Linked DNA regions of Saccharomyces cerevisiae S288C. The gene in region 2 interacts genetically with the main gene of each other region. Each region holds a gene or a part of one and is shown on either strand. Other genes may lie near its edges. The genes, in order: RDR1, GLO1 and YAR066W.

Region 1 (4,169 bases), on a different chromosome or scaffold from region 2:
ACATACGTTCTAAGCTTTCCCACCTACACTAAACCAAATACTAATAAAGTGTATAAAAATTTCCGGACCACTCAAACAAAATTTCGCTCAGCAATACTTCAAATCTTGACTTGCTTTTATTTTTATCTTTCGGTTTTCCACCTGACGTTATCAACTTTTCTTTAATGAATTGAACTTCCAAGCTTTAACACTGTTCCTGAGCCTCTTGAGTATTGACATAAACAGTCAGACCTTCTCTCGTATTTTTATAGATCGAACTTGAACCATCAATTTGGTGCAATGCAGTGCAATTTGCATTTGGTTCAGACACTATGTCCAAGAAAAGAATATAATATCAGTCAAGGTTTCACCCCTCATTCCAGGCGTGACGGGATTTCTTTAAATTTCCTATTTTCAAATACCGGATATATTACTTTCTGCGCAATTATCAAAGATAAAATATAGTAAGCAGGTATTAAACATCAATTCCATTCCCTCTAATTATAAATCAATTTGCTTCTCGATACACATAATCTATAATACTCTTTTACATAAAGTTTAACGTGTCTGATGGATCTAGCAAAGCATCCCAGTCAATATCGAGTAGGTGAGTAGTTTCAAGATTAGATCTCTGGTGAGTTGCCTGCTCAAGCTGCTGAATTTCTTGTCTTTTTTTTTTCATGGAATCCTCAAGAAGCAGTTTTGCGGTCTTTTGTGCTTCAAAAGCAATACGTGTACCGAGAATTTGAGTAATATTATCTAACGTTTTCATGGCAGTAGCAACATGTGAAAGACTTTCCGGTGTGTCGATGGCAAGAAGGACACAGACGTACTGGAATGAGGTGCTCAACACATTCCACCATGCTTGATCCAGTTTTACAAGAGCGTATGCTGCTGATAGCGCAGTGTTGCCGATATCAATTATTTGTAAAACAACATTTTTATCAAGAATATGATTCAGCAAACGAAGTCTTCTATACAAAGAGAGGCATATATCACCCTTGGTCAACGACAAAAACGGATGTGCGTTTGGTGATTCATGAACGGCCGCCAGGGCCTGCAACAATTGCGCTGCGTTTGCGTTCACGCTGTCTTGGGGAATCAGGTGTGCTAACGCGACTAAATGAGCTGTAAAATTACCGTCCGTCTCCTTAACTGGCTTGCAAGTAATTCTATTCAGCGTAACACTTGAGCGCCCATAGTCATATGAAAGAATGGTATTGATTGACCATGCACACCAAAATAATCTTCTAGTGTGTTCGCTCACTACAGTAGTTCTTTTTGGTGGAACGTTGTTCGATATCGCTATATCCTCTCTGTCAATCTCATGATGCAGGCCAATTGCCTCAGAAAGATGGATGGTTACGCAGCTAGCTAACCATGCTACATGGGGCCTCGAAGTGGCTCGCAGGTAAATGGTGCGCAAAACCCATGCGGAGACTTGCTCCACCGTGGGAATGCGACTGAAAGTCGGGTCATCAAGGATCCCTTTGGCATATTGTACTATATCCATCTCTCGGGGATGGCCAAGACTTCCCATAAAAAATGATCCTAAAGCTATCACCCCTGCAATAACAGCCCCATACTCTAAGGTTTTTACGTCGCCATCCCAGTATTTTTCAACATTCTTTGCCAGTTGCTCTGGATTAACAACATCAAATATCGGGTGAACAACTGAAAAATAAACTTTTGAGATACGGTAATACTCTTCCTTTGTAACTAAATCAGAAAGAAGGACATGTGAGTTTGGATTTTCTTCCGGTCTGATTCCGCAATGCCAAGCGAAGGAATGTAGGCGTGGAGGATTAGTTGATCGGAGTTCGAGACCAAGACAGCGGGGGAAAGCAACTGCAGAGTGCTGGATCGTGTACCTAGACTTAGTTGGATCTACAATGTTTTGACTTGTAACGTTCTGTGTATTTATAGGCTGCGGTTGTTCGTTTCTATGTATACCCGGAAGAACAAAAGGTCTGCTCTCCGTATCAGGAGATGTTTCACCTACTTGTTGCACTTGAGGTGATGCCGAAGGGACACGACCGTCAATATAATGACATACATATCCATAGGCAACGCACATTTCACATGGAGATTTGCCATTACATTTCCTTTTACGTTCCCTACAGGGCACGCAAGCCTTTCGGACTCTTTGTCGCTTGTGTGGTAATGCTGTCGATCCTGGGGATGCCATTTGGTGAGCTTAAAGTAGGAAAGTGTGCGCTAAGTTATCTTACTGAAGTTCTTTCAGGTTTCTACTTGAAAAAATAATGTATCTTTTCACTCGAGAATGGCCTCTTGTAATTTTCATATTTATCGCACGATACGGGATATACTGGCTCCTCTCTATCACTTTGATCGTACTATATTTATTTCTATTAGTTTGGGTTATATACCACGATGAAGTATTTCTCTATATATGAACTTATTCTATAAAATGCTGCTTTTCGGAGATCCTTTTTTTAGACTTCATAAAAGTGCTCCATGCATACGTTGCTGCGACAAAAATGCCAAGTCCGCTCAACCCGATGCCCATGTACCACGAACAACGATATCCTTTCAAAGGCTTGGCACCTCCGTCATTTACTCTAGATTCAATTGTACCTGCAATACCCAAACCTATCGATATCGAATAGTTTACCACCGTATTAACCAAAGAGGCTGCAAGACCTTGATGTTCGTGTGGCATCGAGTCACTAAGCATTATTGTAGCGGCCGGAAAGGACATGTCCATTCCCCAAGGCATAACAATGATTGACACAAACGTTTGAGCCCAATACGTTTGGTGAACGGGGGCCGTAGCAATCAATATAGTTCCGACTGTGAAAGCTGTCATCGCAAAAAGCATAACTGTGCTTGGGGGTGTATGGCTTAGAAGGAAACCTGTCGTCACGGCTGCACAAAATCCACTGATTGCTACAGGTGAAAACTGTGCACTAGAAAGAAGGGGGGTTTGGCCCCTTGAGTCTTCCATGAACTGCCATGTATAGAATATCCAAATACCAAAGCTGGCCCATCCCGCAGCTATGCAGCTAAGTACAAAAGCAGTATCACTAGAAAGAGCAGCAAATGGTAGCAGAGGGAAAGCTGCTCGGGACTCGATATATGCAAAAATAACCAAGAAAAAGGTACCAACTATCAAAAGAGCGTATGTGTATGGAGTTTGCCAACCCACAACGGGGCCTTGGTTCCAAGCGAAATTAAAGAGAATTAATCCAACAACGCCGGTAACTGACCCTGCAAAATCGATTCGTTCCAACAACTTGAAAGATGAGGCATCGCGGCTTGGCATGGGGGTGTGAGGGATTACAAAGTAACCTGCTACAGCTAAAACAAAGCATGCAATACCCATTATCCAGTAAGCCCATGGCCACCACGCCAGTTGACCCAACATGGATGAGAAAACAGCCCCAAGGAAGAAGCCACCAGGTGCTGAAGCACCAAACAGACTAAAGACCATGTTTTTTCTTCTTCCTGGCTTATATGTGCGTCCGAGAATCGCAATGGCATTTGGCAACAAAAAGGCCGGACCCATGCCTTGAAATGCACGACAGCAGTCAAAAAAAATCTGATTAGAGTAGACGCTAAACCCAGCAAGTAAGGACCAAAGTGCGTACCAAAAGAAGCCAAGGACAAAGAATTTCTTGTGTCCGAAGATATCTCCGAGTCTTCCAGCAATTAAAATGAATGTACCAACAGTTAGCGAATATGCGGAAGCAAACCAACTAAGTTGTCCAGCATTCGTTGTTCCAAAACTGTTACCGATGATGTGAAGCGGCGCTAATGATTGTCCAAGTCCTGCCTGAGTCATTAGTTGGGCAGAGCACAGCACTCCGACAAAGGCACTCTCCCATAAAAGGGATTTAGGCCTCTCATCCTGAATATCAAACTCTGATAATACTTTATCCTCCTTTTTCAAGGCTTCCGCGTTTGTATCCAAGTTTTTCTGCGTTACGGAGGAGCTAGTTGACATATTGATTTTATGTTCTTTATGTTCCAGCAATTGATGAATGTACAATATTTGTTTTCTTTTCAGGTAGAGAGTGAGATAGAAGTAAGTTTCCACAAATGAAGTTATTGGAGGCTAGATATACTACTCCCTTGGTATTTAAAACTGCTGCCAAATCTCGTTTATTTTAATCCCTACCGATAGCTCATCATTGAGAGCTTCCGCAATATCCGCACATTTCGTGGAG
Region 2 (3,165 bases):
TGTCAACAACTGGTTCACTGAAAAATATTTATTTTTTCAGTGTCTACTTCGTGGCCTTTGAAATGTGTAGTAAGCCTAGACCATATATCATCGTAAAGATTTAGTTCAAAATAGTCGTGTATAAGATCGTAAAGATTAGAAAAGTTCTTGAAAAGTGAATCCGATTTCATTCCATCAAATGCTTGTTGCACGATGCTTTCAAAAATACTTCTAGATGGATCATCACCAGGAGCGAGCGTTCTGTAACTCGAAAACAATTGGCCAAGCTGTGTTAATCGAGCAGGATGAATGTGCAATATATTCTCGAATGACGATCTTTCTTGCTGAAAAGAATCTATCGACAGATTTGGCATAGCATGTGCATTTTTTGGTATTTTCTCATAATTGTGAAAACACTGTAAGTAGTCGTTAGGTACAAATTCGCAATTTAAAGGTTGATCTATGAATAGTATGATAAAATCAGCCGCCCCTTCAAAGTAGTCATTAAAATTGGGTAATATTTTTGTCTCTAGAATCTTTAGTCTTCGCCTTATATGAAATCCATTTAAGGCATGGATCACATTATTCTTCCATTGAATAACAACGGTCTTACCATCTAACGTTTCATAATGACTGTCCCTTGAATTCGTATTTATGTAAGAGTTTTCAGTCATTAACAATATGTAAGAGTTAATAAACTCTGCATTATAACAGAGGTCATGTAACGGCAGTTTGCTCTTGACATCGTGGTAATTCAAAAGGTATTCTGAAGGAGGTGCTAGGAGGATAAACCTACGGGTTTTTAAATTAGCGAAAAGCTTTTTCAATGGGGATCTTTCTGGTTCGGGACAGTTAAATATAGCATTAACCAGCGGGTTCAACAGCGTTGGTAAATGGTAAACTGACATTGTCAACCCTAGCTAAGCCATAGCTTTTCCGTTGAGGAATTTACAATAAGGTGGTTCCTTTAGTTATAAATTGCAACTGCCAAAATTTTCGGGTAGCGGCAAAATTAAACGAAAACCTTCTGTCATATTAAACATAGTTTAGTGACGCAATGCACACACACTCATATATATGTATATATTTATCTATATCATAGGTGTAAGGCAAAGTTATCACGTGAATATACTGTTTAGTATACAAGTACGTTGATTTAACGGCTGAGAGATTCTCAAACAAAGTAACGCTTAGTTTAGCTAAAGTAGAATCGAAGCGCAGTGAAGGCAAGACGAGTTATCCCTTTATCACAAAATATAAAAAATAGGTAAAGAGGGGGGTGGGGGTGGTTCGGACTTTGCATCTCGGTGCATTAGTACCACTCAGCTTCAGTTATAGGAATACTGACAATGTTCTTGAGCCAGGGAGAACTGAAATTTCCATACCCTTTAACCCTTTATTCTTGAGCATATGATCTTATTTTTCCACTCAGCACAAAATACACATCCCGCATATGATCTGGACACTGAATAAACAAGGGGCTTTACGATGGAGTAGTAGACCTGGATACGTAGTCACCACAGGGATCCTAAACTGCGTCATAGTAAGTTTCTTTGATACTAGAATGTCCCTCTCTCGTAGTAGTTGATATCCCGTATTTCTAGTTAGTGACGTTTATAAATAGGGAGAAAAAAAATCGGAATAACATTTCCATGCCTTTTTTTTGACACTTCAGACCAGATACGCCACCAGCTACAAACTAACAATGTCCACTGATAGTACACGCTATCCAATTCAGATTGAGAAAGCCTCGAATGATCCAACCCTTCTGCTTAATCACACATGTTTAAGAGTCAAGGATCCAGCAAGGACCGTTAAGTTCTACACCGAACACTTCGGTATGAAGCTATTAAGCAGAAAGGATTTTGAAGAAGCAAAATTTAGCTTGTACTTTTTAAGCTTTCCAAAAGACGACATACCCAAAAATAAGAATGGAGAGCCTGATGTTTTTAGCGCACACGGTGTCTTAGAACTAACTCACAATTGGGGTACTGAAAAAAACCCAGACTACAAGATCAACAACGGGAATGAGGAACCTCATCGTGGATTTGGGCACATCTGTTTTTCTGTATCCGATATCAATAAAACCTGCGAAGAGCTAGAATCTCAGGGTGTCAAATTCAAGAAGAGACTCTCTGAAGGAAGACAGAAGGACATTGCGTTTGCTTTAGGCCCTGATGGATACTGGATTGAGTTGATCACATATTCTAGAGAGGGTCAGGAATACCCAAAGGGCTCAGTAGGTAACAAGTTCAATCATACCATGATTCGTATTAAAAACCCAACCCGGTCTTTAGAATTCTACCAGAATGTGTTGGGCATGAAATTATTAAGAACTAGTGAGCACGAAAGTGCAAAATTTACGTTATACTTTCTTGGTTATGGCGTTCCAAAGACCGACAGCGTTTTTTCATGTGAAAGTGTGTTGGAGTTAACTCATAATTGGGGAACTGAGAATGATCCAAACTTCCACTATCATAACGGTAACTCAGAGCCCCAGGGTTATGGTCACATCTGCATAAGTTGTGATGACGCTGGCGCCCTTTGTAAAGAAATTGAAGTGAAATACGGCGATAAGATCCAATGGTCTCCTAAATTTAACCAAGGCAGAATGAAGAATATTGCCTTTTTGAAGGATCCTGATGGTTATTCCATTGAAGTCGTTCCTCATGGTTTGATTGCCTAAAAAGTTGAAATGAATAGGAGGTTAGTATTTTTTTTTTACAATAATGACCATTCTTGTTGACTTTTCATACACTAATTATTATTTATATTTTGTATTTAAGTACTTACTATAACGTCGACATCAACGCATACATGCCAAATATCTGGTGCAAAAGTTTTTATGCGTTCAAGCTTAGATCTCACAAACTGAAGTTTGATGCCACGGTTTCTAATTAATGCAATTGACTCATTAATAGCGTCGAGTTCTACAATGACATTCTTTTCGAAACTTCCATCCTCAATTGCATCTATGTGTACATTTTCATGTATATGCATTGTCACTTTTTCCAAAGAAGCTCCTTGTAAGTAAATTAATTTGATGGCCAATGGCCACCCTTGTTTGCTTGAAGGCAGGAGACCTAAATTAATATGCCTAATACGTAACCGAAATCCGGGATTCTGAGATAAGAATTCAGTAAGCCTTTGAACGCACATTTCATTTGATTCTTGGAAAACGTGGCA
Region 3 (3,061 bases), on a different chromosome or scaffold from region 2:
GTCATCATCTTCTTCAGAACAAATCACCAGCTCTATCACGTCTTAGCATCCAATTATTACTCCATTCTATCGCAGCAATGGAACTTCTGTAGTTTCTTCCTCAGTCATGTCTTCCTCGGTCATTTCTTCTTCTGCAACGACCTCCACTTCTATATTCTCTGAATCATCTAAATCATCCGTCATTCAAACCAGTAGTTCCACCTCTGGTTCTTCTGAGAGCGAAACAATCTTAGTGATTGCTGGCATGTCATTAGCGACAAGACGCTTATTACCGTAGTAGCCCCCCAAGGCAAACATCTCTTTATCAGTAATATCCAAAGCTGTTCAACTTCTCGAATTGGCCCAGGAAAAGAGCATTGGGGCGGCAACTAACTCTGGCATACTTACAGTTTCTGCTCTTGACAGCGCTAAAAAAGGGCTTGTTTTGTAATGCCCGGTTCGCAATTCTACAAGTACCACGCACTAGCTGCTAAAAGTGTCTAACCTTGCGAACAAATCTGGACTTTCTTATGAGAATCCCATCGTCAAGAAACAAAATTATACAGACAGGCGTAAATGTAGCTCGTAAGCGCCTGATCAAGTAAGCCAAATGCGCTAACTTGAGGAAATATAGCCATCTAAATCTCTGCAACATGCCAATTCGCACGTGACTTGAAACTATGGAAAGTGTCTAGAAGATTACCAAGAACCACGTTATTTGAGAGAGGATGGCAAGGTGACGACAATCACACCAAGACCACATTTTGGGTGCGCCTGGAAGCAAGACCTGAGAAACTGGGCCAAAATATTCAAACCAAGCATAAGATAGTTGGAGGTAGGAATACACTATCTAATCTGTGCTGATGAAATGCTGGCGAAAACGGGCGATGTAGTGGTACAGAAGGTGCCGGTTATCCGTTTGTCCGTTTTTCTTCATTTTTTTTTTGTTTTTCCCTTTTGTCTTTTGCACCGCTTATATATGGGTATGAAACAAGTTCAAGAATTTATAATGGAACCCAAAGGTTCAGTCTTTGTAGTTCGAGCGACATTGCGCGTTTCCTTAGAAAACGCTGGAAAGATATTCTTTAACGAGACGGAGTAATTCTCGTCAGGAATAGGATGTTGATTGATTTTTGCTGTAGTTATATAGCAGGGACCCACGGAAGAGAGCGAGCGCCTTCTTTCACAGGGACTTTTGTCAGCCACGTCTCCGGGGAAAACAATTGCCGTCCGCGTCGCAGTGAGATTACGCAGCCGTGCGCTTCAGGGACAGAAAAGAAGCATTTCGCGGCTACGGAGAAACCGTGCACTAACTCTCTCGAGGGTAGCCGCAAAGATTTCTTGTCTCTTCCATTAGGACATAGCTATCTTTTTCTTTTCTGTTTTTGGCGTATGATCTGTTCTGAGCCAAAGTTATAGATCATTGCTTGAATAAGCACCTCACAGAGTAGGGATTGTATAGAAAGTAGCTGAGCGTCTGCCCACGTAACAAACAATCTTGCCCCTTCCCCGCTCTTGTTTTCGCGTGCCTCTTCTACAATAATCTGGCCAGGCTGAATCGCGTTCTGCTGCTGCTGCTGCTATTGTTATTGTTGTTGTTGTTGTTTTGGCCAATTGCTTATGTGTTGGTCTGCAAATTAGCACCTCGTTCCCTGTTGGCAAACGCGCGCGTACAAGCCTTACAGGGCTTGAGAATGTTCTTCGTAGAAATGCATGCACAAAAATTCTGATCTAGCACACCATCGGTCTCTGTAGCTTCGGGCTCTATAGCTATGGGTTAGGAGTCCGTGAGTAGTAACAAGAAGAAGTATATAAAAAGCAGGTAAATCGTACTTCAATATGCTTCATTGTCACTGGATCGTCATATTCACTCTTGTTCTCATAATAGCAGTCCAAGTTTTCATCTTTGCAAGCTTTACTATTTCTTTCTTTTTATTGGTAAACTCTCGCCCATTACAAAAAAAAAAGAGATGTTCAATCGTTTTAACAAATTCCAAGCTGCTGTCGCTTTGGCCCTACTCTCTCGCGGCGCTCTCGGTGACTCTTACACCAATAGCACCTCCTCCGCAGACTTGAGTTCTATCACTTCCGTCTCGTCAGCTAGTGCAAGTGCCACCGCTTCCGACTCACTTTCTTCCAGTGACGGTACCGTTTATTTGCCATCCACAACAATTAGCGGTGATCTCACAGTTACTGGTAAAGTAATTGCAACCGAGGCCGTGGAAGTCGCTGCCGGTGGTAAGTTGACTTTACTTGACGGTGAAAAATACGTCTTCTCATCTGATCTAAAAGTTCACGGTGATTTGGTTGTCGAAAAGTCTGAAGCAAGCTACGAAGGTACCGCGTTCGACGTTTCTGGTGAGACTTTTGAAGTTTCCGGTAACTTCAGTGCTGAAGAAACTGGCGCTGTCTCCGCATCTATCTATTCATTCACACCTAGCTCGTTCAAGAGCAGCGGTGACATTTCTTTGAGTTTGTCAAAGGCCAAGAAGGGTGAAGTCACCTTTTCTCCATACTCTAACGCTGGTACCTTTTCTTTGTCAAATGCTATTCTCAACGGTGGTTCTGTTTCCGGTTTGTAACGTAGAGACGACGATGAAGGCTCTGTAAATAACGGTGAAATCAACCTAGACAATGGAAGTACCTATGTTATCGTTGAACCAGTTTCTGGAAACGGTACAATCAACATCGTCTCTGGTAACCTATACTTGCACTACCCTGACACCTTTACTGGCCAAACTGTTGTATTCAAGGGTGAAGGTGTTCTTGCCGTTGACCCAACCGAAACCAACGCCACTCCTATTCCTGTTGTTGGCTACACCGGTAAGAACCAAATTGCCATTACCGCCGACATCACTGCTCTTTCTTACGACGGTACTACTGGTGTCTTAACTGCAACCCAAGGTAACAGACAATTCTCTTTTGAAATTGGTACTGGATTCTCTAGTTCTGGCTTCAGTGTCTCCGAAGGAATCTTCGCAGGCGCCTACTCATATTACCTAAACTATGACGGTGTCATCGCTACAAGCGCCGCATCCACATCCGCATCCACTACCTCTGGTGTTGTCTCTACTGCCACTGG

The links.
Region 1: mutations in GLO1 (region 2) and RDR1 together harm fitness more than expected from each alone (negative genetic interaction), as found in Saccharomyces cerevisiae (one large-scale study listed by BioGRID).
Region 3: mutations in GLO1 (region 2) and YAR066W together harm fitness more than expected from each alone (negative genetic interaction), as found in Saccharomyces cerevisiae (one large-scale study listed by BioGRID).

Annotation. Positions count from the first base shown.
Region 1 is NC_001147.6:1,049,288-1,053,456, reverse strand, and holds RDR1 (Rdr1p), read right to left. Parts: upstream 2,168-4,169; coding exon 527-2,167; downstream 1-526. Other genes in the region: AMF1 (Amf1p), read right to left, coding at 2,399-3,946. UniProt on the Saccharomyces cerevisiae protein: Transcriptional repressor of multidrug resistance genes, such as PDR5. Required for growth on non-fermentable carbon sources like lactate or glycerol.
Region 2 is NC_001145.3:261,205-264,369, reverse strand, and holds GLO1 (lactoylglutathione lyase GLO1), read left to right. Parts: upstream 1-1,684; coding exon 1,685-2,665; downstream 2,666-3,165. Other genes in the region: YML003W (uncharacterized protein), read right to left, coding at 15-887; TRM12 (tRNA(Phe) (4-demethylwyosine(37)-C(7)) aminocarboxypropyltransferase), read right to left, coding at 2,761-3,165. UniProt on the Saccharomyces cerevisiae protein: Catalyzes the conversion of hemimercaptal, formed from methylglyoxal and glutathione, to S-lactoylglutathione. Can use gamma-glutamylcysteine as a substrate.
Region 3 is NC_001133.9:219,100-222,160, forward strand, and holds YAR066W (uncharacterized protein), read left to right. Parts: upstream 1-1,949; coding exon 1,950-2,561; downstream 2,562-3,061. Other genes in the region: YAR064W (uncharacterized protein), read left to right, coding at 1,099-1,398.